Linked DNA regions of Elephas maximus indicus. The protein of the gene in region 1 interacts with the protein of each later gene in a pairwise test. Links are inferred from orthologs where the notes say so. Each region holds a gene or a part of one and is shown in the gene's direction. Other genes may lie near its edges.

What was found.
Region 2: the proteins of CLK3 (region 1) and OAS2 interact in binary tests that used the Homo sapiens proteins (3 or more experiments, as listed by UniProt). The two-hybrid records come from large-scale screens. The link is inferred for Elephas maximus indicus from reciprocal best matches to the Homo sapiens genes CLK3 and OAS2.

The regions. Positions count from the first base shown.
Region 1 is NC_064831.1:64,685,578-64,701,016, forward strand, and holds the start of CLK3 (dual specificity protein kinase CLK3), read left to right. Parts: upstream 1-5,042; 5' UTR 5,043-5,130; exon of another isoform or gene 5,131-5,169; intron 5,170-5,452; exon of another isoform or gene 5,453-5,532; intron 5,533-8,502; coding exon 8,503-8,654; intron 8,655-9,352; coding exon 9,353-9,569; intron 9,570-11,400; coding exon 11,401-11,497; intron 11,498-11,772; coding exon 11,773-11,839; intron 11,840-14,134; coding exon 14,135-14,251; intron 14,252-15,032; coding exon 15,033-15,199; intron 15,200-15,439. Other genes in the region: ciliary rootlet coiled-coil protein 2, read right to left, coding at 1-97, 171-288, 572-701. UniProt on the Homo sapiens protein: Dual specificity kinase acting on both serine/threonine and tyrosine-containing substrates. Phosphorylates serine- and arginine-rich (SR) proteins of the spliceosomal complex.
Region 2 is NC_064840.1:11,165,248-11,180,686, forward strand, and holds the start of OAS2 (2'-5'-oligoadenylate synthase 2), read left to right. Parts: upstream 1-7,705; 5' UTR 7,706-7,856; coding exon 7,857-8,033; intron 8,034-10,766; coding exon 10,767-11,040; intron 11,041-15,439. Other genes in the region: OAS3 (2'-5'-oligoadenylate synthase 3), read left to right, coding at 1-58, 942-1,089, 1,292-1,303.

The DNA.
Region 1 (15,439 bases):
GGCCAGCCCTGCCCGCTGCCACCTGCTCTCCGCAAGCCACACCCGCAGGTCCTTCTCTGACTGCCACTGGTCCCTCTCAGGGGCTCTGTCTGGGCACCTGCCAGGGAGAGAGGAGTCAGACTGCCAGCAGGGTACCAGAGGGCTGCCGTGCCTGCCATCCCCAGGCTCACCTGCACCCCTCGGTGGGGCTCCGTGGGCAGTCTTGGTCCAGTGGCCAGAGGTTACAGGAGTGCCGGGGACAGCATGTGGGGCCAGACATGAGATCCATGGGCTCTGCCTCAGTGGGCCCTGAGTACAGAACAGACTGGAGTCTAAAGCTGGAGCAGTCCCTTCCTCCTAGAACACCCACCTTTGAGCCCCCTCCTCAGATGCAGAAACTGAGTCCCTGGGGTGAGCATGCACTCAGCCCCACCCCCTTGGCCCAGGGTTCTCTCTGGTTATTCCAGTTTCAGATAAACCCCAGCCTCGGCACCACTAAACAGTTCTCAGTTCTAACAGTTCCCGTGTGCTGTGGGTGCTGACCGCCAGCCAGGCCACCTACTGAATAAACACCACCTCATTTCACACTCACGGGTACCCGGCTGGGGGCTGTGCCGCTGAAGCTCAGAGGGGGCATTCAGTTGCCCCTGGTCACTGCAGGGCAGGGAAGAACGGCCCAGTAAGCAAGGTAGGCACAGGATTACTTCTTCTTGCTTACTCATCTGTAGAGCACAATTTCACCTGTTCCTTACCGTGTTAAAGATGTTCTGAGACCCATATGAAACTGTGCACTACAGATGATAAGTAAACACAATTAAGCCCGTGCCTACCTTGCTTGCTGGTTAATCCGCCCCTGCTGCAGGGAGTCCCTGCAGAATGGGGATTCCCACCCAGCGCTGTCAGGCACTAGAGCGCACACTCACCCACCCTGCTGCCCTGCAGCGCTCCCCTTCCAGGTGTGTGAGTCTGGTGGGCAGTGGTTAGGAAACAGTAGGGGCCAGGGGAACATTTCAGGGCCAGCACAATTTAGCTAAAGGAGCCCTGGTGGCACAACGGTTAAGTGCTTGGCTGCTAAGAAAAAGGTATGGGGTTTGAACCCACCCAGCAGCTCTGCAGGAGAAAGACCTGGCGATCTGCTCCCGTAAAGATTCCAGCCTATGATTGCTCTGACAGAGATCACAATAGAGGGTCGCGGACAGAGCAGGAGAAAAAAAAGTAGAACAAAATTCAAATTCACAGAAAAAGACCAGGCTTATGAGTCTGACAGAGACTGGAGGAGCCCCTGACACTATGCCCTCCGGATACCCTGGTAACTCAGAATTGAAGCCACTCGTGAAGTCCACCTTTCAGGCAACGATTAGACAGGCCTTTAAAACAAATAATAACACAGGAGAGGAACGTGCTGTTTTAGTTCAATCAAGTATTCAAGACCAAATGGGCAACACCTACTCAAATGCAAAGACAAGAAGGCAGGAAGGGACAGGAAAACTGGAGGAATGGACATGGAGAACCCTGGGTGGAAAGGGAAAGGGGGACAGTGCTGACACATTGCAGGGGTTGCGACCAATATCACAAAACGGTTTGTGTATAAATTTTTGAGTGAAAAGCTAACTTGCACTGTAAACTTTCACCTAAAATACAATAAAATTAAAAAAAAAGATTACCCACCCACTGCCATCGCAGCCTAGAAAACCCAACGGGGCAGTTCTACTCTGTCACGTGGGGTAGCTATGAGTAGAAGTCAACTCAATGGCACCTAACGACAACAACAACATAGTTTAGCTGTGATGTGGGGGTCAGAAGCCCCCAAACTCCTTGCTCTGATACCTCTTCAGTTTCCATAACTGCAGCTGTAACACAGGGGCCCTGACACCCATTCCCCACCAGCTTGTGGTAACTCATGAGGCAGACAAGGACTACTCGGTGGGTATTATCCCCTCACACTCCTCCTATCCCCACTCTTCTTACCTCCAGGGCCTCAGAGTCCTACCACTGTCTCCTTCCTCCCAAGCCTGAGCGCCAGGTACCCAGGCCCAGGCTCCGTGATGGCATGGAGGGTGTGTGGCCCAGTCCTGGAAGGCTGTCTCCACCTGAGGAGAAAGAAGAACTAGGCTGAACCTCCCCTCCCCTCGCCCTGATGTGCCCATTCCTCATATACCCAGACCTGCTCCCACCTCAGGATGGCACTGCCATCCACCAGGCCCTCTCGCCTCTAGACACCTTGACTACTCTCCCCTCCCTCCAGGCCCAGGTCCCTGCAGCCCAGGAAATGGGAACCTGACTCTCCTAGGGGCTCCCAGGAAGGTTTTCCAGGGGAGGTAACCCTGGGGCTGAGGCTTGAAGGTGAATTAACTACCCCTAGAGAAGAGAAAAATGGATGTGGCAGACAGAGGAGAGAGCATGAGCAGCAGGACAAGAGGGGGATCAGAACAGCTGGGGCCTGGAGGGGCAGTAAGCTGAGTCTGCGTTGAGGGTGGCCAAGTGAAAAACCAAGAGGGGCAAGGCTGGCCCTAAAGAGGAACTGTGGGGCCAAGTGGCTAGGAGCCGGGCACAGGGCGGAGGCAAGACCTCGGTGCTCTTGAGTCATGCTTTGGACCTCAACAGAAAGGACCTGGTGCGGGCAGGGGCGGGCGACTGGGAAAAGAGCTTGGGTCTTCAGGGCAGGGCTGTGGAGCAAACCTCTGGAGTTGGTCCACCCCCTGAGCTCCCGGGCCAGGGGTTACCAGGGACTTATTGCCAGGCAGCACGGGAGTATGAGAGTGGTGCAAGGGCAGTTCCACATACATCACATCAGGGTAGATCTTTTTCCAAGTGCCTATTTGGTGCCCTGGTGGCACAGTGGTTAAAATGATGGACTGCTAACCGAAAGATCAGTGGTTAGAAACCACCAGCAGCTCCACGGGAGAAAGTTGTGGCAGTCTGCTTCCTTAGAGATTTACAGCCTCGGAAGCCCTGTGGGGTGGCTGTGAATCGGAATCCGCTCAGTTGCAGTGGGTTGGTTGGTAGGTTATTTGATACCCTGTTTCACATTCTGCTCAGGTGTGAGTTCTTTTAGGAAGAAAGAGACAAAAGAAAGAAGACTTACTGGTAGAATCTCAAGCCCAATGGCTGCCTGACTCCAGATTTTGGAGAGTTAAGGAGCTGGGAGATGGCTCCTATTTCTCTTCAGAAAAAGAGAGAGCTGCTTCCTCACTGGGAGGTAGGGACTCCTGGTTTCCTGGGGGTAGAGGGCTTGGGGGAAGATGGGCCTAACTTACCTCCTCAGAGCCTGGTGCCCAGAGCAGAGCTGGGGACAGGAGCCTCTCTGAGGGCCTTGGCGCCTCTCAGCTGCCCGCCACAATCCTGGCTCCAAGGAGCCATGGAAACCGCGGGCAACACTAGGTGGTGGGAGGAGGAGCCACCAGAGCCCTCCCACCTCGTATGAGTGGATGAAACCCCTAGGAAGAAACCTGGTTGGTGTGTCCACGGCCTAGACCAACGAAGCATTGAAGCATTTGGAGCCCGGGCATAGGGGTGGGTAGGGGTTGTGGCACCTCAGGTGCCTGCCATTTTTTAACCCCCTGGCCCCTGAGGCAAGATCCTGAGGGGGCGAGATCTGAGGGCGGCAATAGCCAGGTTCTGGGTCACCCACTGCACACTTGAAGTGGCTCTAGAATTTCTATATTGGGGGCAGCATTTGATTGGCAGGAGGACTCGGGCATGGTCTTGAGGGGGCATTAGCGTAGCAAGCACCCAAGTTTTAGGTAGCTTCTGTGTTTATTTTGGGTGGGAGTGGTGGAGGAAACCGAGATTTGGGGGATGTAAGCATCCCTCAAGCCACGTCGTAAGACTCCAGTTTAAGGGGGCGCCAGAAGCGAAGTACTATAGGGGGAATGGTCGCCTCTGACCAGGCAGCCGGGGCTTGGAGACCGCGCCCCCAAGTCAGGGGCGTGGCCAGTTCTCATTGGGGAGGGGGCGGGAACTGGGCGGGGCCGGGGAAGAGAGGCAGGCGGGCGGCCCGCCTCCGCCCTGCCCCGTGAGGTGTTGGAGAAACCCAGGCCGCCCATTGGTGGATGGCAAGAGCTGGCTGTCCAGGGGAGGGGGCGGTGCCTGGGGAGATGCCCAGCCCCGCTCACTCCGGCCGGGAGAGGCTGCGGGTTTCCAGCGCTCGCTTGGCTTGGGGGCAATTAGGGGCCGCTCCCGCTCGTTTAGCTGCGCGACGCCCGGGAGAGCCCGGGGGCGGGGACGCCACTCCCGGATCGGGCGGGGCGTGCGCGCCACAAAATGTGAGGTCTCCCAAAGGGCCCCGGACCTCAGTTTCCTCATTTGGGAAATGAGGCTTCGTAATCCCGCTCTAGACAGATAGGAGGGAGGCGTTATGGTGATGCCATGCTCGGGGGCCCTGCATGGCGCGAGGCTTTTGTTTGGCTGGGGCTTACTGAGAAACAATGCTGGCCGCACTAAGACGCTCTAAAGGTACTCAAGGGGGAAGAAGACCCCCTGCCACCTGACCCCGACCCCTCCAAGATGCCCCACCATTGTGGCTCTCGGGTATATTCCCAAAAACTGTTTTGGATAAACACACAAACACACATTTCATTTGCTTTTTTCACACAACCGTTGTCACCACCGCCTTCGTGAGCCTCTGGGCCCAGGTCTCCGCCGTCTTTAGTTCCCTCTTGGGCCCCGTGGCCAGGTGGACCGCAGTAACCCCCGTTTTCACTGTCGTAACAGGGAAACAACGACCGTCCCCTCCGCGCACAGAAAAGGGGTTGGCGGACACGGGCGAAGCTCCGCCTTTCGGCTCCGAGCACCCCCGCCGGGCATGGAGAGGCTCGGGGACCAGGCACCTGTCAGGTCTGGAGGGTTTACGTGCGTCGAGACACGACAGGGGGCGGGGCGAGCCGCCGCCGCCGCCGGAGCCACCCCTCGGCCCTCCCGGAGCTAGTCTCGACTACTCTGCGGCACCGACCGGAGCGTGGAAGGCCAGTCCCCCAGAGCCTTCGAGTCAGGGGCTAGAGCGTCCCGGCCACCGAGCCGAGCCGACCCGGGGCTGGCGACGCCTGCGTCACCCGGGGGGCGGGGACGCCACGGGCGGAGGCCGGAGCCGGAAGCGGAAGAGGTGCTCGGAGCGGGGAGTGGGGCCTAGCCGCAGCCGGAGCCTGGGAGACGGTGAGTGTGGGCCTCGGCCCGCGACGACGGCTGCGGGAGGTGAGTCGGGCGGGGCGGCCTCGCCGGGTGCGGGTTTCGGGTGTCCCGGTTTGGGCTCGGTCCGCGCCCTTTCTCTTCCTTTACCAACCTCAGGCCGCAGCCCCGACCCCTCACCCCTGACCCGCTGCTTGTCGCCCCGAGGGCGAGCACGGCGGACCTCGAGCTCTCGATCCCGTGGTGTCGGAGTGGGAGCCAGAGCAGCCTCTGAGGCCCCCTCTGTCAGCCCCTGCAGGGACCCAGTTTCGGCACTGCGCCTGCCCGAGGAATGGGGTCGGGGTCCGACCTGGGATAGCCTGGAGACTCCTTCAGACTCCTTGGCTCGAGCCTTGGTCCGTAGGTCCCTCCTCCCCGCGTGGCCTGGAGTTGGATTCTGGCTCACACCGACCTGCCCCCACCACCTGGGTCCCTCCTCCGCCATTGACGGTGGTTCGGGGGGCACGGGGCTCCTAGATACCCAAGACCTGGGGCGCCCGAAGGGACCCGAGCGAAGGCCGCAGGCGCCTGTGTGTGTTTTGTTGTGATGATGGAGCCGCTCCAGCCCCGGGGGAGGGGCCCGGCCAAGCTGACAGCCCAAATGCCCGGCTGCTCCTCAGCCCGGTAGCCTCTGTGCTTTTAGTTCCGGGTGCGAGTGCCCTGGTGTGGAGCCGGTGTGGGAATTGCCCGAGCCAGGCCCCGGTCGAGGCGGAGTTGGCGGGCTTCCAGCTTCCCTCCTCCGTGCCCTTGAAAAGGAGGAGCGTTTCACCCCGTTGTGGCGGCTTGCGAGGTGGCAAGCTTGAGGTTGCAGTGGCGGGGCAGTGCCAGCCAAAAATAACCGTGGGGCGCTGGGGTGGCAGGGCTCCGGGAGGGCAGTCGCTGACCCGGCTGGCTGCACTTCTTGTCAGCCCAGTTCTCTGGCCAGGAACAGCAAATGAGAAGCCGACTAGGCCTGTGCTCCGAGGAGAAGAGCTGGCATCCTCGGCCTGGTTTCCTTCACATTACCTTTTTTTTTTTCCCATTGTGTAGAGCAGAGCCTCCTAAAGCATGATCGTGACCTTAGCTTCCTAAAATAACCTGTTTGCTGGGGTCTCAGTGGATCTGAGGCAATGGATGAGAAATGGGCTCTTGTGCTGTTGGTGGGAGGCTGAGGAGGGGGTCTGGTAGGTCCAGTAGCTCACCTGCCTAAAATGCGGTAAAGGAGAGATGATTTCTCCTATTAGTCTTGCCTTGCGTGTAGTACTTTATAGCTCTCATGCTTGTCATCTCCTTTGCCAAGTTGGCTGGGAGGTAGTGTTATCTCTACTTTCCAGGTATGGTAGCCGAGGCCTAGAGTGACTTGTATAAATTCACGAGGACAGTAAGTGACAGCACTGAGAATTAGGTCAGGGTTTTCTGCCCAGAACTGTCTTCCCCCAGGTTCCCAGGAAGGGACTTATAAAGTGTTCTTAGTGCTCTTAAGGCATTTAACAGAGGTCCAAGTTGTTACCCGGAATGTTTTTCATTTTGTTAATGAAAAGTTGCCTGTAGTACCACTTGTGGGCCCAGGCCTATGCTAGGCAGTTGGTTTAGAGGAGACACATTAAATCCTCACAAACACTTGTAAGAGATTGTTATCCTGTTATTGCAAGAGGAAGCTGAAGGATAGAGCAGTTGAGTAACTCGCCCAAAGGCACACAGCTAGAAGTGGCAGTGCCAGGCTTCAGACTGACATCTGTCTGCCTCTGAAGCCTGGGCTCTTTCCACTAACATGAAGTGTGTGGACATGTGTATCTTCCAGGTCCTGGGAGGGAGGCTTTGGCCTGGTGTGGACTAGACCAAGTCCTCCTGATGCTTTGTCTCCTAAGCAAGGAGGGCCCATGCCAGGCCACTGGAGCTTTCATTCCACAGCTTGGGCACCTGCCCCAGGGTAATGGCAGGAAAACAGTGAAACATTAGTCACCTAATCAACAAAACAGAACAGCAATCCAGGTCTTAGGGATCTGTCAGTGATTTTCTGTATGTTTATCTCCAAGGATTGCTGAGGGCTGGGCCAGTACCACTTCCTGGACTTCCCAGATAGAGAGGGGACATCAGCTACTGGGGAAATGGAGGGCAGTGACTTTGTCAGGATCACCGAGGAGCTCCCAGGAGTTTGGTCAGATTGGCCTCTTTGCCCTGCTTACCCCAGGGGGAGCCATTCCATGCTGCTCTCCTCTTGACAGACCTTTCTGCCTTGATGGTGCAGCCTCAGTGGGTTTGTCCGAAATGTGCTGGTCAGGTGAGCCCAGGACTGACCATGACCAGAGGCTGGCTGTGGCCAAGTGAAGGATTGGCCTAGCCTTCCCATGGAGGCAGCATCAGGGTTTTGGATGTAGGTGGAAATGGGGGCTGGCCTCACATAGCCACTTTTCTCAGCTGGTACTGGTCCAGCCTGGCGATTTCCCGTGGCGGATATAAGTCTTTGCTTAACAGGGAGAGTGGGGTGGGGCCCTTTGGCCTGCCTGCCTGTGCAGGCAGCCAACCCCTCTGCTCTTCCTGAGATGGGAACAGGAGCCAGTACTGGAGCAGGGGAAAGAGAAAAGGGGACAGCAAAGGTGATGTTGGAGAGAGGTGAGGCACTGCCCAGCATGGCACTGCAGGTGGTCTGAAGGGTGCTAAGTGGGCCTCTGGCAAGAAACTTGGGTGCTCGGAGGACCCTGGCATCCCAAGGGATACTGAGACCAAGTGATGACCAGTAAGGGCTGGTCAGACTCTGGGGTAAGCTGGGGAATATTTGTGAGACCCTGTATGCCTCTTTTTCCGAGGGCTTGTCCTCTCATCTGTGGCTCCTCACATTGACTTGCGATCCTTACTCCCTTGAGTAGGGTCCACTTCAGGGCCTCAGCCAGGAGACTTTAGGCTGAAGGTGTTTCCCCGCTTGCGCCCATGTTGTTGGCTTCATGCCAACAGCCCTTTGACTCTGGCCTCTGGCTTTACAGCATGGTCACTTCATAGGACCACCCAGTAAGTAGGGGACTAAGCCCAGTAGGCTCCTCTTTCTCCCTGGCCTTGGTGACCATACTCACCATTCCCTCCTGCCTTCCTGCCTCAGCACCTGGTCCCAGCTCACCCATTTCCCCAAGTGCTCAGGCCACTAGGCCAGTGATGCTCTGCTGGGGAGGCAGCTATTAGTTCGCTGGCAGAGAGGGTGTTACCCATTGTCTGTTGTTCGGCCAGTATGACCTCAGAGTTCTTCTTCACTTCATAAAACCCTGGGAGGGGCTGCCCCCAAACAGAATAATGGGCCTCCTCTTTAGGCACGTCTGGGCTGCCCCGGCAGCCCTGTGGCTGGAGGTGGCTGGCTGCATGTTGAGTAGGGCACTTTCTCTCGTGGCCTAGATGCATCACTGTAAGCGATACCGCTCCCCTGAGCCAGACCCGTACCTGAGCTACCGATGGAAGAGGAGGAGGTCTTACAGTCGGGAGCACGAAGGGAGACTGCGCTACCTGTCCCGAAGGGAGCCTCCGCCTCGCAGGTCTCGGTCCAGAAGGTGAGAGGGAACTGGGTAGGCAGGAAGGACTCCTGCCCTTGGCTGGGCTAGTGAGATGGTTTTGGGGCTTGGGGCAGTCTCACATCTCCTCGAAATGGCTGCCATCTCTGCCTGCTGCTCCTAGGACCCACCCTGTCCTCTTGGGGGACCTCCCCAAATCTCACCTGCATTCCCTGGCCTTTGCGTTAGCTGCAAGCCTTGCCTCCCCTTCATCCTCTGTCCCTGAGTGCCCCTTCCTCTTCTTCCTTCTCCCAGAACATTCCCCATTTTTCCAGGATGGCAGTGCAGGTCTGTGGCTCCTCCTCTACTAACCTCCTGAGCCTTCCTCGGTGGGGATTGGGGGGACCCCAGCCCTTTCTAGCGGTTGGTCCCTGGTCGTATCTTAGCCTCAGGCCAAGGTTAAAGTCTCCAGAAGGCCACAGGGAGCCTGAGTGTCTGAGCCCTCAGAGGCCCTCCACCTGCTCCCCTTCCCCACTGCTCTGCCTCCTGGGGCACTGGAGGGGTGCCTATCTTTAGCCAAGGTTCTGGAGGACAGGTGGGCTCAGCACCTTCACACCTTCCCTCCCTTGCTCTCTTCCCGCCAGTCTGGGTGTCTGTGAGCTCTTTGAGGGTCTACACAGGCTTCTTGCCTGGTAGCAGGGACCTGGCTGGTGGGAGGAAGGACCCTGCTGACCAGTCTCCCCCACCCTTCTTGGCAGCCATGACCGCCTGCCCTACCAGAGGAGATACCGGGAGCGCCGAGACAGCGACACGTACCGTTGTGAAGAGCGGAGCCCATCCTTTGGCGAGGACTGCTACGGATCATCACGTTCACACCATCGTCGGCGGTCACGGGAGAGGGAGCCATATCGAACCCGCAAGCACGCCCACCACTGCCACAAACGCCGCACCAGGTCTTGTAGCAGCGCCTCCTCGGTGAGTGGTGGCCAGAGTGTGCTGGCTGGGCCTTCCAGGCCTCATCTCTTTCTAGCCTTCTCTCAGGCTGGTTGGTCGTGGTGAGTACTGCCAGCTGGGCACACACACTGGTGTGCGTGCATGTGTGTGTGTATGTGTTGTCTGGTCCAGGTACAGAGCTGAGCTGGGTGGCCCGGCCCCTCTGCCTTCTTGCCCCCTTGGCAACGGCAACTATAGGGGCCCTGATTCCGGCGCTGGCTGGCTCCCAGCTTTTCTGTGTCTCCAGGCTGCTCCAGACACCAACCGCATGGCACCGGTGGCCAGGGAGCCTTCTTGGGGAGCCTTCTTGGGGATCCAGTAGGGTTGCCGCTATGTGGTCTATATGGTCTGGTCCTTCCCTCCCAGAGGTTGCCCCAGTAGCTGAGAGCTTTGACTGGTGTGGCCGGCACCCACCTTCCAGTCCCATCTCCACACACCCTCCCCCGAGGCTGGAGAGGATTTGCCCGTCAGCCCGGTGCAGATTGGGAGCTTTCCTGCTGACTTCCAGCCAGGCCTTCTGCAGTCTCGCCTCTTCATGTGAGGGGCAGTCCAGGCGAGGGGTGGGAGCTGTCTGTGTGCTGGGGTATGTGAAGAATGGCAGAAAGCCTTCAGCCCCAGGCAGCCCCAAAGGCAGAGCCTGGCCGGTGTTCCTGGTGTGGAGGATCGTGTAGACCCTACACTGCACCCAGGCCCCCAGGAAAGAAAAGCCAGTTGTGTATCTCTGAGGCTATGTGCTGCCTTCTCTTCTCCTCCCGCCCCCCTCCCCACCCTCCTGCCGGCCATGAGGCCCCTGAGGGGTAGGGGCAGGGTCAGTGGAGGGGTCCAGCTTCTTCTCTGCCCAGTTCTCCCTGTGACTTCTCTGAGCGGCCATGGCAAGTTGAGGGGAGACTGGGTGAGCCCAGCACGGCCTGGTGGCCTCTTGGCACACTGTCACAGGATGGCAGTGCAGGTCAGTGGCTCCACTGCTTCTCTTTTTGGTGCCCTCTGTCGTTGTGAGGCTTGGGATGGGCCTGGCCTGTGGGCGGCACGGTGCCAAGGCCAGGGCAGGAGCTGGCTTGGGGCCTGTGTGGCCGTGGTGGAAGGAGGCCTGCAGGCCGACTGGCCCAGAGGACCGGCCCCTTCCCTGCTCGAGGCTGGTGGCAGGAGGGCTGCTGGCAGGCCGTTTCTGGTAGTGGTGCTCAAGTCTGGCCAAGGATGCCGTCTGGGGACAGGTAGCAGTTTGGCTCTGAATGGCAGCTATCGGGCATGTGCAAGGCCGTGTGGACAGTAAGCAGGCAAGGACAGGCTGGGCATTTCGCAGGAAAACCGAGATGGCCCTCTCACCAGTCCGACGGTCAGACCCAGGCAGGGCTGGCTGCCTTCTTGCGCCGTTCTCTCTGCGTCTTCAGCTCTGGCCGAAGCCACCACGAAGCCCCCACGGGAGGGCCTGGGAGGGGGAGACTCGCTGGAGGAGGGCGTCAGGGATGTGGCTCTCTTCATGGCCTGGCCCCTCAGCCGCAGAGGCTGGTCGTCTTTCCGAGCGTTTGCGGCGCCCCTCCTTGTAGATAATGTCCGAGTTTTCTTTACATACCTGTAGCTGTTTTTACTTTTCTGTTTTTGAAGTCAGTTTGTGTCTTGACGTGTCCCTTGCAATATCCCTATCGTTATATATGCTGTGTGCCTTATGAAATGCTGGCATCTGGAAAATCCAACCAACCAACCCACCGGCTCCTCACCGTCTCCACCTCTGCCTTTGACTGACACCTCAATCTGTCAATCGGAACCGCCTACCATGCGATTGGTCGGATGGCGTTTCGGGGGGCGGTGCATGCAGAGAAGCCAACAGAGCAGTAAGCGCAGCAGCCGGAGTGTGGAAGATGACAAGGAGGGCCACCTGGTGTGCCGGATCGGCGATTGGCTCCAAGAGCGATGTACAGCCACCTTTCGTAAAACTTTACCTCTCTACTTTCTACCCCCCTTGTTAGACGAGACCTCTCCTGCCTGGAGGGGCCTCTAGTGCGCGTGGCGCCTTAGCGGGGCCACCAGTAATTGCCTGAATGACACAGACACTAGCAACTTCTGTTTTTAAGAGTGTGGCAGTGAGAGAAGCCTTTTTTGTTTTTGAGAATTTGAATGCTGTGAACTTACAGGAGCTGCCGGCCCTTTGCCTTGCAGACCCTCACGCCCTGTTTCTTCTTTCTCCTAGATGAGATCGTGGGGAACCTGGGCGAAGGTACCTTTGGCAAGGTGGTGGAGTGCTTGGACCATGCCAGGTGAGGGCACCGGGGCAGCCCCAACCAGCTCTGGAGGTGACTGCCTGGGAAGAGCCTGTTTGGGAGGCTTGTGGGTTGTGGTTATCTGAGCCTTTTTCTTTCTGAAGGGTAGCACCAAAGCAGGGTCTGACCTGTACATGTTGGTGTTCTGCGGACCCCCTGAGAAATTCTTGGGGGTCTGCAGGCATGCCCAAGAATTGCTGGGCAGTGACTAGTTCTGCCCTGATTTCCCCTTCCCAGGGCTGTGGTGGTGGTTCTCAGGGCAGGGCCATGTGGCCTGGCACCTGCTCCCTGGGATCTCTTGGAAGGTCTTGGCCTGGCAGGGGACTGGGAGTGCTACTACCCTACCCTACCCTGGGCATCTGCCTGAGGGGCCGTGCCAGGTCCCTGTTGGGAGAAACAAGACTGGGATGTTCTCCCAAGTAGGCAGCTGCCTGCTGCAGTGTGGCAAGGGTGAAGTGGGGTCTTCACCGAGCATGCTCAAAGAGAGCTGTGCTATCCCGTGTGTGTTGAGGGCACACTCTCTGTTCCATGCTTAAGAGCAAAACACTTTCCTCAAGATAGGAGCTTCCTGCCTTGCTGCCTTCCTCCCCTAGCTCTGGGCAGGGGAGCACTGTGTGTAGAGTAGGGGCATTGCCTCCGTGCCTTCCTGGCCCTCTGATTGGTTTGGCACTTCAGCTACAAGCTTATGTGTTCTTTATCTCATTGACCCACTCGCTGTCCGTGGGTGACCTTCCCACGATCTTAGAGGTGAAGAAGCACGTTCAGGGTTTGCCACCTTTCCCACAGCTAGTGAGTAGTGGAGGCGAACTCGCAGTTCCACAGTGCATCCACAGTAGGGGTGCTCAGAACGGACCGTTAGACCCAGGAGCCCAGCCATCCCTGTGGCCCCAAGATGAGGTAGTGGCAGTGACTGAGGAACCTGCCCTTTGCTCCCAGTCCCATTTAAACATCCCTCAGGCCCAGTATGGCTCAGGAGGGCCGGACTGGGACCAGTGAGTGTAGGGACTACACCGTGCCCAGAGCACGTGACCACATAGACATGTGGCAGCACCAAGAGCTGTGACTCGTGAGGGCAGCTAAGCTCTCCATACTGTGCCACTCTAAAGAGCTGGAGGGGAAAATAAGCCTCAGAAGCCACCAAGGGGCAGCGCAGGGGTAGGGAACCTTTGGGACCCAAAGGGAGAGTCAGGAGCAGTGGGGATTATTGTGAGGAAGCAGAGTGCCACTCAGCCAAAGCAAGGGCCTTATCCTCCGACTCACCTAGCCCTGGCAGGGGCTCCCTTTGGAAGTGATGAGCTCCCTGACCTAAGGACTGACATGCCACAGAGGAATTCTGTTCCAGGTGGAGCCTGGAGTGAGTGGCCTTTCCTCTGAGGTCCTTCCCTGCCCTGACAATCTGTAATTCTGGGGAAATGAGGCAGGGAAAGAAGAGAACAGGGTATTCTCCAGAGGATGCCTCTGCCCTGGGGCCTGGGAGCCTTTGCCTGGGCACCAAGGCCCAGCCTGCCTAACCTCCCTGAGGCCCCAGAAGATGCACCCTTGTGAGCTGGTGCTGCTCTCACTCGTTTTCGAACCACGGCCATCCCTTCCTGATGGGGCCTGGCAGCTGAACCTCAGCAGGATGCCTTCTCTGCTGACATCCTGGAAATGGCCTCTGGTGGCTGGGTTTGGGGCAGGAAGTGCAGAGCAGGAATTATTGAGATCCTCAGTAGATGCTTAGCCAGGGTGCCTGGCACCAAGTGGTAACTGGTAAATGCTTGTGGTGGGAGGCAGGCAGGTGAGTAGGCACGGAAAGGGTTGTGGTAGAGGGAGTGGTCCTGGGCCTTAGGGAGAAGACCCCATTTCTGGCACCCTTCTTCTCCATCCTGGAAGCCCCCACCCCAGGGACAGCTGTTTACAAAAGAGGGCTTTGGGTGGGACGGCCTGGCCAGGGTCCGCACTGACTGACCTAGAGGCTGGGTTACTGCACGGGCTCAGGCTGGCACTGGTTAGTGGGATTGGCCTCTACTCCTACCCACACTCTCCCCTGGGAGCTGGCAGTGGCTGATTTCATAAAAGGCTAAGGCTGGCATGGATGCCAAGAGCATTCACACACAGATGCCAAAGGAGCTTGCTGTTAGGAGCATAGAGGTCTGGGTTGCATGGGCAGGCTGGGCATCAAAGTACCTGCTCTCTTCAGAGCAGGCCTGTTCCTGGTGAGTGGTGTTTGCTGGGAGTTGCTGGGTTGAGGCAGAGGGGCAGGGGTGGGGCTGGACAGCTGCTGATGAGGGCCCGTTTCCTTCCTGGTCCCAGAGGAAAGGCTCAGGTTGCCCTGAAGATCATCCGCAACGTGGGCAAGTACCGGGAGGCCGCCCGGCTAGAAATCAACGTTCTCAAAAAAATTAAGGAGAAGGACAAAGAGAACAAGTTGTGAGTGTTGGCAGGGAATGGGAGGGAAGCCTTCAGTGGGGACAGAGTCCACTTTAGCCCCTACTGCCTGAACCCCTAGGTCTGGGCACACTGTCCCATCCAGTGTCTGGCCTGTGCCTTCTTCCCACACTCAGCACCCGGGAGCTTGGCAAGGGAGTCTTGCTGGAAGGAGCCTTTGGACTTTAGTCCAGACTCCACCCATCCGGCTTGGTGTTCCAAGGCGGCCCCCCGCTCTGCCGTTGTGAACTGGGACTTCACTGGGTTGTGGTGGGCGGAGGTCAGGATGTCCACAGGAAGCTATGTGGGGCTCTCCTGCAGGAGGAGGCACCCAGAGGAAAGCCTGTCTTTGGCAAACAGACGCTCAGCTCTCCCTCTCCTCCAAGCAAGTGTGCTAAGCCCTGGGCACATGGTGAATCCAGCCCCCCTCAGGAAGCACCGCTGAGTGGGGAGGCAGCATTCCATCTCTTCTCAGAGCAGCTCTGAGGCAGGGCTTATCCCCATGTCACCCATAAGTGAGGGGGAGACCTCGGACCAGACCCTGGCCTTCCCTGGGGGCCAGCGCTCCCCTGCCCCCGCAGGAGGTTGTCCTTGCCCAGCTGATCTGTGGTGGCTGGTGGGGAGATGTGCTTTAGCTCTGTTAACTGATTCTCTTTCTTCTGTGTATCTCCCTCCTGGCGTGTGACCCAGTGGCCTAGGAGGGAGTGGGGACTGGCTGCATCTTGAGACGGGGGCGGGGCAGCCCTCAGCACAGAGCCTGAGCCCCACCCATCCTTCTCCCCAGCCTGTGCGTCTTGATGTCTGACTGGTTCAACTTCCACGGTCACATGTGCATCGCCTTTGAGCTCCTGGGCAAGAACACCTTTGAGTTCCTGAAGGAGAATAACTTCCAGCCTTACCCTCTGCCACATGTCCGGCATATGGCCTACCAGCTCTGCCATGCCCTTAGATGTGAGTGTCCACCCTCAGATGGAGCACAGGCCAGCCACACACTTGCAGCAAAGCTACCTGGTTGTCTCGTTCTCCCCCATGCCCTCTAGCACATTGCTAACCTTTCTGCTGGGCCTGAGAGACACCAGGGCCCCTCTGGCTGAATGGCCTTCTGTCTCAGGTAGGAATCTCAGTGTGAGGATGGAAGGGCTGGAGTCCCCTCCAGGGACCTACCTCCTGAGCCAGCCTCTGCCCCCAGGT
Region 2 (15,439 bases), on another chromosome or scaffold:
ACGATGCTGAGGACAAGACCATTGGAGACTTCCTGAAACGGCAGCTGCAGAAGCCCAGGTTCAGACTCACCCCAGTGTCCCAGAGTCCCAGGCCCGGGGTCACTCCCTGTCTTCCCAGCACAGGCAGGAGCGTCTTGTGTCTAGAATTCAGTTCCTTTCTAGACATGATATCCTTAGCACCTGAGGACAGGTGGCCAGCTACCTAAAGAAAAAACCTGTGAATAGGACTGCCAGATAAAATACAAGACGCCAAGTGAAATTTGAATTTCAGATAAGCAATGAATCATTTTTAGTATAAGTATGGCCCATGCAATACCTGGGATATACTTATGCTAAAAAAAATTTATTCATTGTCTATTCGAAACTAAAATTCAACTGGGCATCCTGTATTTGTAGTTGTTAAATCTGCAAACCCTACCTGTGAACCTAACAGGTAACATAAGCATGTCTTACTCTTTGGGATTTCGCCTACCTCTCAAATGGGTACAGACCCAGCACAGAGGCCTTCGCAAGCTCACAGTGCCTCTCTAGTTGGGGGGTAGTAGTAACTAATGTGGTGAGAAGGACTCTGAGATTGTGATTTGGCTCAGCTGGGAAGAGTAACCTAGTCAGGTAGTGACATTTGCCATAGATGCAGGAAGGGAAAGTGGTGGAGACAGTGCTCTGATTGATTAATAATGCCTGCTTTACATGCAGTAAGTGGCGGCATGAGCCCTGTGATTGATTAGTGATGTCTGCCCTGGATACAGAAAGAAGTGACCCGTGTGTAGTTTCTTTTGTATACTTGCCCTCAGGTGTGTGCCTGGAGCGTGGAGGAGGCTCTGAGCCCTGCCCCTGGCCCCTGCAGAGTGTTAGGTGAGGGAGGAGCATGGTCCAACCAATCCCACAGGTGGATACCAGATGTTGCAGGGAATAAGACTGACCTTGGATGGAAATTACAGGCCCATCATCCTGGATCCAGCTGACCCAACGGGCAACCTGGGCCACAATGCCCGCTGGGACCTGTTGGCCAAGGAAGCTGCAACTTGTGTGTCTGCCCTGTGCTGCATGGGCAAGGACGGCACCCCCGTCCAGCCCTGGCCAGTGGAGGTGAGCCGCCTGCAAAAAGGAAGAACATACCTTTTGTGGGAGGGAGGGGGCAGTGTGGGCAGGGGAGAGTCTGGCTCCACACAAAGGGACGGGGCCAATCATGGCTCCACTGTGCCCTGTGCCTCCACTTCCTGTCTATCCATGTGGTCCCAGCTTCTCCAGGAAGGTTAGGGGTAACCGACATCTGTACTCCCCCCACCAGGCTGCTGTGTGAAGCCCAGGAAACCAGTGGTCGTACTGGATGGACGGATGGACACCAGCCCTCCATGTGGGGAGACTGAGGATTGCCTGCCAGATGAGCCTCTGTGTGTGTGTGTGTGTGCGCGCGCATACGCGTGCATGCGTGTGGAGGTATATGTGCATATGTGTATGCGTGTGCATGCATAAGTGTGCATGGGTGGGTGTAGGCACGGGTGTGCATGTGGGTGTGTGTGTGGGCACATGCGTGTGCATAAGTGGGGTTGTGCATGTGTGGGTGGGTGTGTGTTTCAGCAAATCCTCTCTCCTCCCCAGTCCAGCCCTCCAGCTGACCTCCCTGCCTTCCAGCTCTCCCCTTTCATGTAGCTGGATTGACCTTCATTAAATACCACCAAGTAGCCAGTGGGCAGTCCCCAGCTTACACACACCCTTGCCTCCCACGGCCTGAACACTGGAGTCCAGACTACATGGTTGAGTACCAGCCTGAGTTTTCAGCTTCTCCACTGCCCCCATGACCCAACACCATGTATCCTCAGGCCAACCTCCACGCCCGCTAGGGATGCAGGAGGGTGGGAAGAGCCTTCCCCTCACAACCAGCACTCTTGGAGGGAGAAGAGCAACAAAGAGCCGTTCTTCTGCCTACACCTGGAGCCTGTTCTCACCCCTCTTTGGCTCTAGCCTATGAGACTGGGCTGAGGGGTCGGCATGCAGGACCCTCTTAGAACCAGGGCTGTGTTTACAGCTCCCATGCCTGTGCCCTCTGCTCTTGGTGCTGAACCAATGCTGAGGGCACTGTGGGTGTGATGAAGTCTTCTTAAACTCATTTTGCTAACTGTTTGGCCAGAAGCTCTCAGGACACCCAAATTACACCTCTAAGGTTGGTGCTGGCTGTTGACACACACGTTTCCAAGAACTTGGGACAGCAGAGACCTGACCTGCCAAGTCACCCAGCAGAGAGGGGCCTGGCTTGTGCATCATGAGCCTTGGTTCTCCTCCTGGGTGGACAAGGTGTCTGGTTCCAGCTCTCTGCCTTCCAACTCCATTACGTGGACTCTGTTATGGATTGAATTGTGTCTCCAGAAAATGTGTGTCAACTTGACTAGGCCATGATTCCCAGTATTGTGTGATTGTCTGCCATTTTGTCATCTGACGTGATTTTCCTATGTGTTGTAAATTCTACCTCTATGATGTTAATGAGACAGGACTCAGTCTACAAGATGAGGTTGTATTTTGAGTCAATCTCTTTGAGATATGAAAGAGAGAAGCAAGCAGAGAGACAGGGGACCTCATTACTACCAAGCAAGAAGAGCCAGGAACACTGACCTAGGGTCCTGAGCTGAGAAGCTCTTAGACCAAGGAAAGATTGATGACAAGAACCTTCTGCCGGAACCAACAGAGAAAGCCTTCCCCTAGAGCTGGTGCCCTGAATCTGGACTTCTAGCCTCCTAAATTGTGAGATAATAAACTTCTGTTTGTTAAAGCGATCCCCTTGTGGTATTTCTGTTACAGCAGCACTAGATAACTAAGACAATACACACATGAGTATTTCTCTGGAGCCAGACAAGGCAGTACTAACATTCTTATAGAAGAATACACATGCAAGAATACCTAAGAAAATGAAAAAAGAAGAGCTCTCAGGGGAGACTAGCTCTACCAGATATTAAAACATACTATAAAGCCTCTATGATTTAAACAGCATGGTACCGGAACATAAACAGGCCAGTGGAATTGGACAACTATTACTAACACTCTGGAAGAAAGTAACAAAAAGTGTAATCAATCAGCAATTGAAAGCTAAGTGTGATAACTGTTACCAAACACAGTAAAAGGGAAGTTATACATATTCATTGGATTTCTAGGAAATAACGCATTTTCAAAAAAGGGGTTGGGACAGTCTTTTGGCAAGAAGTGGCTGATGGACCTCTCGCTTCTGAAATGGGTCTGAATACTACAGATGATGGAAATCTGGTGATTTTAGTTCCTTGGCGTGAGTCTTTTGGTTCCTAGGCAGGACTCACTATGGAACGGGGACATCCAGCCATCAACCGAATCATTTCTTTGCCTGCTCAGGATTCTGGTTTTAGTTGGTTTGCCTGAAAAGTAATCCTAAAAGGAAGTGTTAGGGGAAATCTGGTTACTTATCATTTAGAATTTAGCCTCAGGTTGAGATACTGGTTTCCTCGAGTCAGGCCTAGCCGTATCTTGTTTGCTTTGGAATATTTTTTTACAGCCTCTGTTGACAAGAGCAGCGGAAACCCTGGTGGCATAGTGGTTAAGTGCTGTGGCTGCTAACCAAGAGGTCGGCAGTTCGAATCCGCCAGACGCTCCTTGGAAACTCTATCGGGCAGTCCTTCTCTGTCCTATAGGGTCACTATGAGTCAGAACCAACTCGACGGCAGTGGATTTTGGTTGACAAGAGGGTTAATTTTACCTCAGGACTCCATACTTGTCTCAAAACCAGCAGGCCTCCTTGGTAACATATGAAGAAGCCCTCATCTGCAGCCAGGAGACAAAAGTGAAGACCAAGTCTAGGATTTTAAAGAAAACTTTTAATTAAAAAAAATTTTTTTTTACTGATACGACTTTTTTCTTGAGATATAATTCACATACCATAAAATTCACCATTTCCAAGGGCATAATCCAGTGGTTTTTAGTATATTCACAAGGTTCAATAATAACACCCATACAATCTATGGAGAGAAAGATATGGCCAATGTGGTCAAGTGTTCCGGGTGAAGGATATTAGGGAGTTTATTTGCACTTTTTCTCAACATTTCAAGTTCTTTCAAAATAAAATGTTTAAAAAATAATAATGAAGGATGGGTTTTGGAATCAGGCATCATGAAGGGAGAACCTAGCTTGTTAGCAGCTTGCTACCTGTGTGACAGGCAAATCTCTCAATGTCCCAGAGCCTCCATATTTTCCTCCGGAAAGTGGCCTTCTGCCCCCAGCCCAGTCTACCTGTCAATATTGCAGTAAAAGGTAAGCTAATGAGCAGGGCAGGGCCCTTTGCCTACCACACTCAGGGATTTTTACCTGCCACTGGGAACCCTGGTGGTGTAGTGTTTAAGAGCTGCAGCTGCTAACCAAAAGGTCGGCAGTTAGAATCCACCAGTGCTCCTCGGAAACTCTATGGGGCAGTTCTACTCTGTCCTATAGGGTTGCTATGAATCAGAATTAATGGCAAAGGTTTTTTTTATATTACATACTAATTACATACTATAGAGGAGCCCTGGTGGCATAGTGGTTAAGCACTCTGCAGTTAACCAAAAGGTCAGCAGTTCGAACCCACCAGCCATTCTGCAGGAGAAAGATGTGGCAGTCTGCTTCTACAAAGATTTACAGCCTATGTGGGGACCATGGTCTCAGGGAACATCTAGCTCAGTTGGCATAATACAATTTATAAAGAAAATGTTCTACATTCTACTTCGGTGAGTAGTGTCTGGGGCCTTAAAAGCTTGTGAGTGGCCATCTAAGATACTCCACTAATCTCACCCTGTCGAGCAAGGGAGAATGAAGAAAACCAAAGGCACAAGAGAAAGATTAGTCTGAAGGACTAATGGACCACAACTCTGTCTCCGTCTCAATGCTGTTTGCCTCCTTTCTGTGTGTGTGTGTGTGTGTGTGTGTGTGTGTGTGTGTGTGTACGTTTCAAGGATTGGACCCAACGTTCATCAGATTACCCAAGACATCCATGACTCCAGAAAGGTTTTATTTTTTGAACAATTCCTGCATGTACAATTCAGTGACATTGATGACATTCTTCAAATTGTGCAACCATTCTTATGATCCCAAATGGGTTTTGAACTCCTAGGTTAAGAGGTTATCCCTTTTCAAGGGCCAGTGGTGCTCGTATTCACCAGGATATGTATAAGATTGTACATGGCAACACTGCTACTAATAAACCAAAAATTGAAGTAATCAAAATACCCATCAAGAAGCTCTGGTGGCAGTGGCTAAAGTGCCTGGCTGCTAACCGAAAGGTCAGCAGTTCGAATCCACCAGCTGCTACCACAGAAGAAAGATGTGGCAGTCTGCTTTCATAACGATTACAGCTTGGAAACCCTATGTGGCAGTTCTACTCTAGCCTATGGGGCCTCTGTGAGTTGGAACCGACTCAACAGTAATGGGCTTGGAAACCCTATGTGGCAGTTCTACTCTATCCTATAGGGCCTCTATGAGTTGGAATCAACAGTAACAGGCTTGGGTTTTTTTGTTTTTTTTTAAGTATCCATCTATAGTGGAACAGGTAAATCCATTCTGGCAAATTCATAAGGTGGAATACTATACTGCAGTGAAAAGCAATGAACTACAGCCTCATGCAAAAATGTATATGAATCTCTCAAGCATAACAGTATGTGAAAGAAGCAAGACACAAAACCATCATAATGATTCCTATTGCTGCCTCATGTTATACCTGATGAACCCGGCTGAACCATGAACCATGGTATATCTCACCCTTTTAAACTGTTGAGGGCCAAACTCTTTAAACCATTCTGCTATGAGTAGTGTTGGAAAGATCCACAAGATCTGGGGTCTTAAAAGCTTGTGAGCAGCCATCTAAGATACTCCACTGGTCCCAGCTCGTCTGGAGCAAGGGAAAATGAAGAAGGGGGCCGGAGCACCTGTGTGCCCAGTCCTTCTTGCACGCGTGTGTGTATATGTACATAATGTATACACATGTATATACATGCACACACAGACAGAGCCTCATCTGTACTTGCCCCACCCAGCAATAGGGAAAAACAGAAGTTTCCAAGGGAAACAGAAACCACTTTGGCCGCCAGAAACGAAACTCACAGAGGGCCCCTAGGGGCTGCCTCTGTCCAGCATAAAAAGTTAACACCAAACCAAACCAAACCCACGGCCATTCAGTGGATTTCAGCTCATAGCGATGCTACAGGACAGGGTAGACCTGCCCCATAGGGTTTCCTGGGCTGTAAATCTTTTTTTTATAAATCATAGCCTCCACCAGACTGAGTCCAGCATGACTAGATGGGGCCTGACTACCACCAGTGACTGCTCTGACAGGGATCACAATAGAGGGTCCCAGATAGAGCTGGAGAAAAATGTAGAATAAAACTCTAACTCATAAAAAAAAAAAGACCAGACTTAACTGGCCTGACAGAGACTGGAGAAACCCCAAGAGTATGGCCCCCAGACACCCTTTTAGCTCAGTAATGAAGTCACTCCTGAGGATCACCCTTCATTCAAAGATTAGACAGGCCCATAAAACGGGACAAAAGGAGCACACCAGCCCAGGAGCAAGGAGTAGAAGGCAGCAGGGGACAGGAAAACAGGTAATAGGGAACCCAAGTTCAAGGAAGGACATGTCGTGGGGTTGGTAACCAGTGTTACAAAGTAATATGTGTACTAATTGTTTAATGAGAAGCTAGTTTGTGAACTTTCATCTACAATACAATAACAAGAAAGAAAGAAAAAATGATGGGAAAGCAATAAAAATTGTAATTTCTAAGTAAAAAAAAAAAAAGATTTACAGACCAGGAAACCCTATGGGGCAGGTCTACCCTGTCCTGTAGCGTCGCTATGAGCTGAAATCCACTGAATGGCGGTGGGTTTGGTTTGGTTTGGTGTTAACTTTTTATGCTGGACAGAGGCAGCCCCTAGGAGCCCTCTGTGAGTTTCGTTTCTGGCGGCCAAATTGGTTTCTGTTTCCCTTGGAAACTTCTGTTTTCCCCTATTGCTGGGTGGGGCAAGTACAGGTGAGGCTCTGTCTGTGTGTGCATGTGTATACATGTGTATACATTATGTACATATACACACATGCGTGCAAGAAGGACTGGGCACACAGGTGCTCCAGCCCCCTGACCCACTCTAGGACCTGTGTTTGCCAAGTGGCCGGCCTGAGCCCTGAGTCTGGCCTGGTGCCTACTTACTGTGTGTCCCTGGGCAATTCAGGCGCCACTCTGGATCTCTTTCTCCTCTCTGCTCTCACTGAGTCTGAGTTCCCAGGCCACTGGAATCAGGGAGGAAGAGAAAGAGCTTCAAAGAAACACCTCTGTCAGGGCAGTTGGTGGCAGTAGCCAAGCACCATCTAGTTGTGCTGGGCTCAGTCTGGTGGAGGCTGTGGCAGTATGTAAAATTTTATTTACTTACAAACACTTGTATGGCATTTATCATGTGCCAGCTCCTGCTAAACACTCTCTAGGTATTATTTAATCCTCATATTAACCCTACAAGAGGTACCACTGTCATCCCTATTCAACTGCAATCGAGGCACAAAGACGGCAGGTGATTTGTTTAAGGGCACAAGTCTAGCAAGTAGCAGGCACTCACAATTGGGCTCTGGAGACTATGTGCTGAACAGCCAGGGGGCAGGGGGGCGGAGCAGAGCCTCTGGGCAGGGGCAGCCCCACCGCCACCACCGGAAAAGCTCTCTGAGTTTCAGTTTCCTGGCTCCAGGGCTCGGGAGCTTACTCCTTCTCTGCCTCCTGCACTGCTCTTCACTCCGGCACCGCACCGGCACCAGTAGTAGCCAGCAGGGAGCCCCAGCAGCCAGCAGGGAGCCCCAGCAGCCAGCAGGGAGCCCCAGCAGCCGGCAGGGAGCTATGGGAAGCTGGTGGTCACAACAGAACTCCATTCCTGCTGAGAACCTGGAAATGTATATCCAGCTCTTTCTACAGCCCCAGGGAGACTGTCAGAAGCTGATCGACCATGCCGTGAACACCATCTGCGCAGTCTTGCAGGATGCCAAAGACTTCCCCCTGGTAAAGGATGTGGCCAAAGTGAGTCCAGGGCTAGGGTCAGGGTTTCGGGGAGCCAGGAGAGTCCACGGTCCCAGGGTCACATGCTAAGTACCTACTCTGCCCCAGGTTCTGGGCTAGACGTCGTTTTGTCTTCCCCACACCGGGGTGAGACGGAGGAGTATGCTGTAGTGGTTAGGAGCCAGCTCTGCCCCTTACCAGGTGTGTGACCCTGGGCAGGTATCTCTTATAGGGTTCACCTTCACCTCTCTGTGCCTCAGTTTTCAAATCTATAAAACGGGGAGAGGAATAATACCCACCTCAGAGTGTTGTGAGGCTTAGGAATATAAAGTTCTTGGCACAGAGCCCAGCACATAGTTACCAAAAAAACCCACGTGGTAGCGTAGCACATAGTTAAAAAAAATTAGCACTCAACAAATAAGCTGGGATTACTCGCTATTATTATTTCTATTTTCTATTATTATTTTTACCCTTATTATAGAGGGATAGACTGAGGCTCGAGGACCTCGGTAAAATCACACGAGGTTGCTCTGTGGTTTCACAACAGTGGGGGAGTGGGTAGAGGGAGGCTCCCTTCAGCTGGAAATGTTCGATGTTGTGGGAGGCAGGGGCGATGGGAAGGTGCCAGGTCACTAGGGCAGGAGGAGGGCTCTGAGGGTCCCCTCCATCACCATTCTCTTTAGCCCTGGCCTGCCACTTCTCTGCTGTTATGCGCTTCTCGGCTCCTCCCTCTGTTGTTGTTGGTGATGGTTGCTGTCGAGTTGGCAACTCACGACAGCCTTATGTATAATAGAACAAAACATTGCCTGGTCCTGCGCCATCTTCATAATCATTGCTATGTTTCAGTTCATTGTTTCAGCCCTTGTGTCCATCCATCTCATTGAGCATTTCCTTCATTTCCATTGGCCCTCTACTTTACCAAACACGATGCCCTTTTCCAGCAATTGGTCTTTCCTGACGACATGCCCAAAGTAAGCAAACCAAAGTCTCGCCATCCTCTAGGGAACGTTCTGATTGTATTTTGTCTAAGGCTGATCTGCTCATTCTTCTGGCAGTCCACAATATAGTCGATATTCTTCACCAACACCACAGTTCAAACGCATCAATTCTTGTCCAGTCTTTCTTTTTCACTATCCAACATTCACACACATATGAGACAATTGAAGAGACCACGGCTTGGGTCACGTGCATCGTAGTCATCAAAGTGACATCTTCACTTTTAAAAATTTTAAAGAGTTCTTTTGCAGCAGATTTGCCCAATGCAATACGTTGTTTGATTTTTTTGATTGGTGCTTCCATGGATGTTGATTGTTGATCCACCTTTACACACCCACTAAGCTCAACAGAAAAGAAACCTGGACACCTGGTGTCACCTGGTGCTACCTAGCCCAGGTGAGGAAACAGAGACACAGAGAAGTTAAGTGAGTGCAGTTACGTAACAGCTGGGGTCAGAGCTGGGGTTTAAATCCAGGCAATCTGCTGAGAGCCTCCATGCTGAGCCACTCTGCTATCCTGCCTCTCAAAATTAACATTTAAAAAAAAGTAAAATATGCAAAAAGAAAAGGGCAGAGATCTAAGTGCATAGCTTAACAGGCTTTCACAAACAGCATACCTGTGTAACCCACATCCAGATTGAGAAACAAAACACCCAGCCCCCCAGGATCTTCGGACACCCTCTAGCCAGTCTCTACCTCTACTCCAGGGCAACCTACTCCTAGGACTTCTAACAGAACAGCCGGGTTTGCCTGTTTTTTGAACTTGGTGTAAATGTAGGGTGGTTTGCCCATTGCTAAAACTGTGTCATGGATTGAATAGTTTACCCCCAAAATGTGTCAACTTGGCTAGGCCATGATTCCCAGTATTATGTGGTTGTCCGCCATTCTGTGATCTGATGTGATTTTCCTACATGTTGTAAATCTTAATCCCTGCCTGTGGTTAATGAGGCAAGATTGGGTTATGTTAAAGAGGCTTAGGGTGGAATTCACAGCCCTGCTCCTGTGTAAGGGGAGTTACCCTGGGTTGTGGCCTGCATCACCTTTTACCTTACAAGAGATAAAAGGAAAGAGAAGCAAGGAGAGAGATAGGAACTTCCTACCACCAAGAAAAGAGAGCCGGGAGTGGAGCGTGTCCTTTGCACCCTGGGCTCCTGTGCTGAGAAGCTCCTAGACTCAGGGGAAGATTGATGACAAAGACTTTCCCCCAGAGCTGACAGAAAAATCCTTCCCCTAGATCTGGTTCCCTGAATTCAGACTTCTAGCCTCCTAGACTGTGAGAGAGGGCTAAGCCCCTCCCTCCCCTTTTGGTATTTCTGTTATAGCAGCACTAGATAACTAAGACAAACTGGGAATGTTTCTGGCAAACCAGGACTGACTGGCCACCCTACGTAAATGGCATCGGGCACTTTGTGCACTTGGTATGTGGTTTCCTTGACCCACAGGGGTTCTGAGGTTCATGTTGCTGTGTGCAGTTGTTGTTTATCACTGTCATTGTTGTATAGTATTCTGCTTTGTGAATCTACCACATCTGACCATTCTATTGTTAATGGAATTTGAGTTGACCCCAGTTTTTGGCCAGTATGAAAAATGCTGCTGTGAACAGCCTGACTCAGGCCTCATGGTGAACAAACAAATGTCTGCTTCACAGCTTTAAGACCATGGTGACTTTTTTGGCTTTTGCTCGCTGTTGAGAAATACCACTGTCTGCTGGATGCCCAGTGGGTCTAGAACTTCACATCCGCTTCCCTGTCGCCGGCAGGGTGGCTCCTATGGCCGGGAAACTGTCCTCAGAGGCACATCCGATGGTACTCTCGTCATCTACCTCAGTGAATTCAAACAATTTTTGGATCAGAAGACAAGCGAACGTGAAATAATCCTCAAAGAAATCTGGAAGCGCCTAGAAGCCTCACAGCACTTAAAGGAAATGGCAGCCAAGTTGGAGGTCCAGCAGTCCCAAGGCCAGCTCATACTCTGGCTGTCCACAAAGGGGCAAAGCATCATCTTTGAGGTACTGCCTGCCTTCAACGCCCTGGGTGAGTATTCCTGGGTCAGTGTGCAGGGCGGGTCTGCGGGGGCATGTTGGAGGATCAAAGCCAAAAAATGGGGTGTCAGACAGCAACGTGGGTCCTCTAGGCTAAGGATGGGATGTCTAGGCCAGCTAGCATCACTAATGCTTTCCAAAATGGCAGGCTATACTCTGGGCCTCCTCTCTTCTCTGGAACTTCTTCCCCCATCTCCTAGTTGATTTTGGAGCAAATGTTCTAGACTTTATTGTCTAGAGCAGGGGTTCTCAAACTGTAACGTGTGCATAAATCACCTGTGAACCTTGCTGAAATGCAGATTCTGATTCAGGAGATTTGAGGCGAGGCCCCAGGATTCTGTATTTCTAATCATATCTGGGATGAATTATGGTTTTGGCAAAGAATATTGAATATACCATGGACTGCCAGAGGAGCAAACAAACCTGTCTTGGTAGCGGTACAGCCAGAATGCTTCCTGGAATCAGGGAGGGCTAGGCTTTGTCTCATATGCTTCGGATGTGTTATCAGGAGGGGCCAGTCCCTAGAGAAGGACATCATGCTTGGTAAAGTAAAGGGCCAACAAAAGAGCTGAAGACCCTCAAAGAGATGGATTGACACAGTGGCTGTAACAATGGGCTCAAATACAGCAACGGTTGTGAGGATGGTGCAGGACTGGGCAGTGTTTCATTCTGTTGTACACAGAATCGCTATGAGTCAGAGCCAACTTGACAGCACCTAACAACAACAACTGGGATGATGCTGAGGCTACTGGTCTGCAGACCACACTTTGAGGGTTTAGACTACAAAAAAAAAAATTTTTTTTTTTTTTTTTTTTTAGACTACAGTCAGTGTTAATTAGAGGAGGAGGATGGGGCAAGCACCTGGAAAAGTCCAGCTGGGATAGGCATTTGGAATCTGCCTTCCTACAAGGTCAACATCAAGGCAACGACCTTCCATGGACAATTGTCTACCAGGGCTTGAGGGGCACCTCAAACATAAGCCATATCTCCCCAAGACTTGTCTACTTCCTGTGTCCCATGTCAGCAAATGTCCCCACAGTTCTGCCTGTTGCCCAAGCCCAGTTTACATCTCTGACTCCCTCACTCCTCACCCACAGCCCACCACTAAGCCTTGCCAGTTCTGCCTAACTAGTCCCTATATCCACTGCTACTTCCCTAGTCGAGGCCACCATCTGGGCTAGCCTGGATATGGCAATGGCCTCCTAATCACTTCCCTGCCTTCTGTCTCACTCCCTACAGCAGCCAGGTGTCACCCTTTCTACATTAAACCCTCTTCTGGCTTTTCTTTGCACTTAGGATCAGGGCCAAGCTCCTCAGCAGGACTGACAAAACTTTAATGATCTAGTGGTCCCGCTTACTTACCTCTTCAGCCCTACTAACTACCACCAGCTCACTCTCTGCCCCAGCCACTCTGAACTTCATTAAGTTCCTCAAGCCCCCATGCTCACTCAACTTGAGATTTGGTCCATGCTGTTCTTTGCCAAGAACATTTTTCCCCTGGCCCTTTATTTTCTGATCGCTCCAAATTTAACTTCCCTGGATCCCCAAGTCTGGGTTAGATCCACCTTCTATGTGCTCCAAAGCAACTTATGCTTTCTCTATCATGGAATTTATCACCAATATTGAAATGATTTGTTTAGTTTTCCCCTCTGCTAGACTATAAGCTCTGAAAGAACAGGTACCATGATGGTCTTGTTATTTTCCTGTCTGTGGTACAATGTTCATGCTGAATAATAGTGAATGGATGAATGGATGGATGAGTGAATAGATGATTGGATGGAGGGATGGATGGATGGATATTTGGATGGGTGTTTAGGTGGCTAGACAGATGATTGATTGGAGGGATAGATGGATAAGATTCAGTATAGTTATAGCTTAGTCTCAATCACAGGTACACATATAATCACAGACTTAAAGAATGCCAGAGCTGGGATCCAGTCCCTCATTAGACAAATGGTGAAACCAAAGGAAAGAAAAGTGCCAGGCCACACAGCTGGTTACCGACAGAACTAGGATAAAAGCCCAGGCTTTCTATGCTCCAAGCCAGGGTGCCTTCCATCCTCCATAATTTCATGGTGTTTCCAGGTTACACAAAATCTTGAAGAACAATTAATCCAATGATCAACTGATAAAGTGGAGACAACCACACCCAACCCCCTGATGACTCACGTTCACAAAAAAGAAGCCTGGTGCAGAGCCAAGTGCGTCCATTTGGGAGGAGGCAGTGCTGTGTTCTTATCCTGGCCTACTATTTACTCACTTTTGCCAACTGCAAGATCAGGCTAGAAACACCTAACTTGCAAGGCTGTTGAGACGCTAAGGTTGTCAGCAAATACCTGTCTCAAATAATGAAAAAAGGGGTATTCCAAATTAATAAGGGAAGGATGCTTTCTTTAAACAAGGATGTTGGTCAATTCGCTCTCATCTGGAAGAAAATCACATTTATTATCACATACAATATATTTCTGCCCTTGACTCCATCCAGTGAATGTTTTATTTCAGAGTCTAGGGTACCGGGACTTTGAGGAGGCAGACAAGGTGAAGGCAGGGTCATGGAGGTCAGGTTCAGAGCTGTGGATGGACCCAGGCCAGAGCGCCGTCTGCTTTCACCTCATCGTGCAAGGACAGCGTGAGAGCCAGAAATAAGCTCTTCTTTCCAGGTAGTGGAAACCTTGGTGGTGTAGTGGTTAAGAGCTGTGGCTACTAACCAAAAGGTCAGCAGTTCAAATCCACCAGGCGCTCCTTGGAAACTCTATGGGGCAGTTCTACTCTGTCCTATAGGGTCACTATGAGTCTGAATAGACTCGAAGGCAATGTTTTTTTTTTTTTTTTTTCCAGGTAGTATTCCAGAAGCCACCACCAGGTAGTGATAAAGCAGTACATTCCCTGTTCTAGAAGGAAAAAATAATGATTGCTTTTGGAGAAAAGTGACCTACAGGGACATTTATAAATTGCTTTCTTTACCAAATATTAGCTAACAAATCTGACCTGGAATCCCTGGGTAGTGGAAACTGTTAACACACTCAGCTGCTAACGTAAAGGTTGGAGGTTCGAGCCCACCCAGAGGTGCCTCACAACAAAGGCCTGGCTATCTACTTCTGAAAAACCAGCCATTGAAAACTCTATGGAGCACAGTTCTACACTGACAAACATGGAGTCATGGAGTCGCCATGAATTGGAATCAACTCCACACAACTGGTTTTTTAACCTCACATAATTTTTTTTTTTTTTTAATTTTTGCACTAGGTCCAGTCAGGCTTCCTTCAATTCTATGCCTCTTTCCATAGCTCCATGCCCCCCATCTTTCCATATCTCTCGCATCAACCTCCCACCCAATCCCCAACCCCCACTTTTGCCCCAGGGCCTTTGACCCAAAGTAGAACACTTACTTACTTCCTTGTGTTTCAGTTTCCTCCTATGACAATCACACTGACCACTTAAGAGTTTTATGAAACCCTTGTAGAGTTCATAGTACATAAAGGGCTGAAACTGTGCCTGGCCTAACAGTAAGCGCTCAATAAATGTTAGCTTTATTATTTTTTTTTTTATCATTATTGAAGACAGAAGGCTCTTTCCCTCAACCTCCCTGCATGCCAAGTGTGCAGAACCATGCCTGGCACAGAGTAGGGGGTCAGTTTCATGTTTGCTTCAAGCCTGGGATATTGACATCTCCCTCACTGCATTTGTTTGTTTCTTGACCCCACACCAGTGGTTCTCAAACTTCAATGGTTTTCAGAATCACCCGGGGAACTTAGTTAAAAAAAAAAAAATACAGAAGCCAGGCTGTCTCCCAACTGTGTATCAGAACCCCCCACCCTCACCCCACCGTGTACGAATCTGAAGCATACAGGCCCAGAATTATGGTCGTGGGAAGATCCTGGGCATCTGTGTTCCAGATGAGCTCCGCAGGGGGTTCCAACGTGCACCCCAGTTTGAGAACCACTGTCATGCACCACCCTACCTCACAGGGTTTAGCCCTGAGACAACTCAGCTGTCCCATTGGCCTCGGTTCCCAGACTTCTAAGGCCCTGGCTTCCTTTTCCTGCCTCCTCCAAGAACCTGTACCCTACCAAAAACCAAACCAAACCCACTGCTGTCAAGTCAATTCCTACTCATAGTGACCCTATAGGACAGACTAGAACTACCTCATAGGGCTTCCAAGACCGTAAATCTTTACGGAAGCAGACTGCCACATCTTTCTCCCGCAGAGCAGCTGCTAAGTTCAAATTGTGAAGCTTTTTGGTCAGCAGCGGAGCTCTTTAATCGTTGTACCACCAGGGCTCCTTCCCTGTATCCCAGACTTCCTGAAATAAAACAGTCACTGGATGGACTCAATAAACCAAACCAAACCCACTACCGTTGAGTCAACTCCGACTCATAGCGAATATATC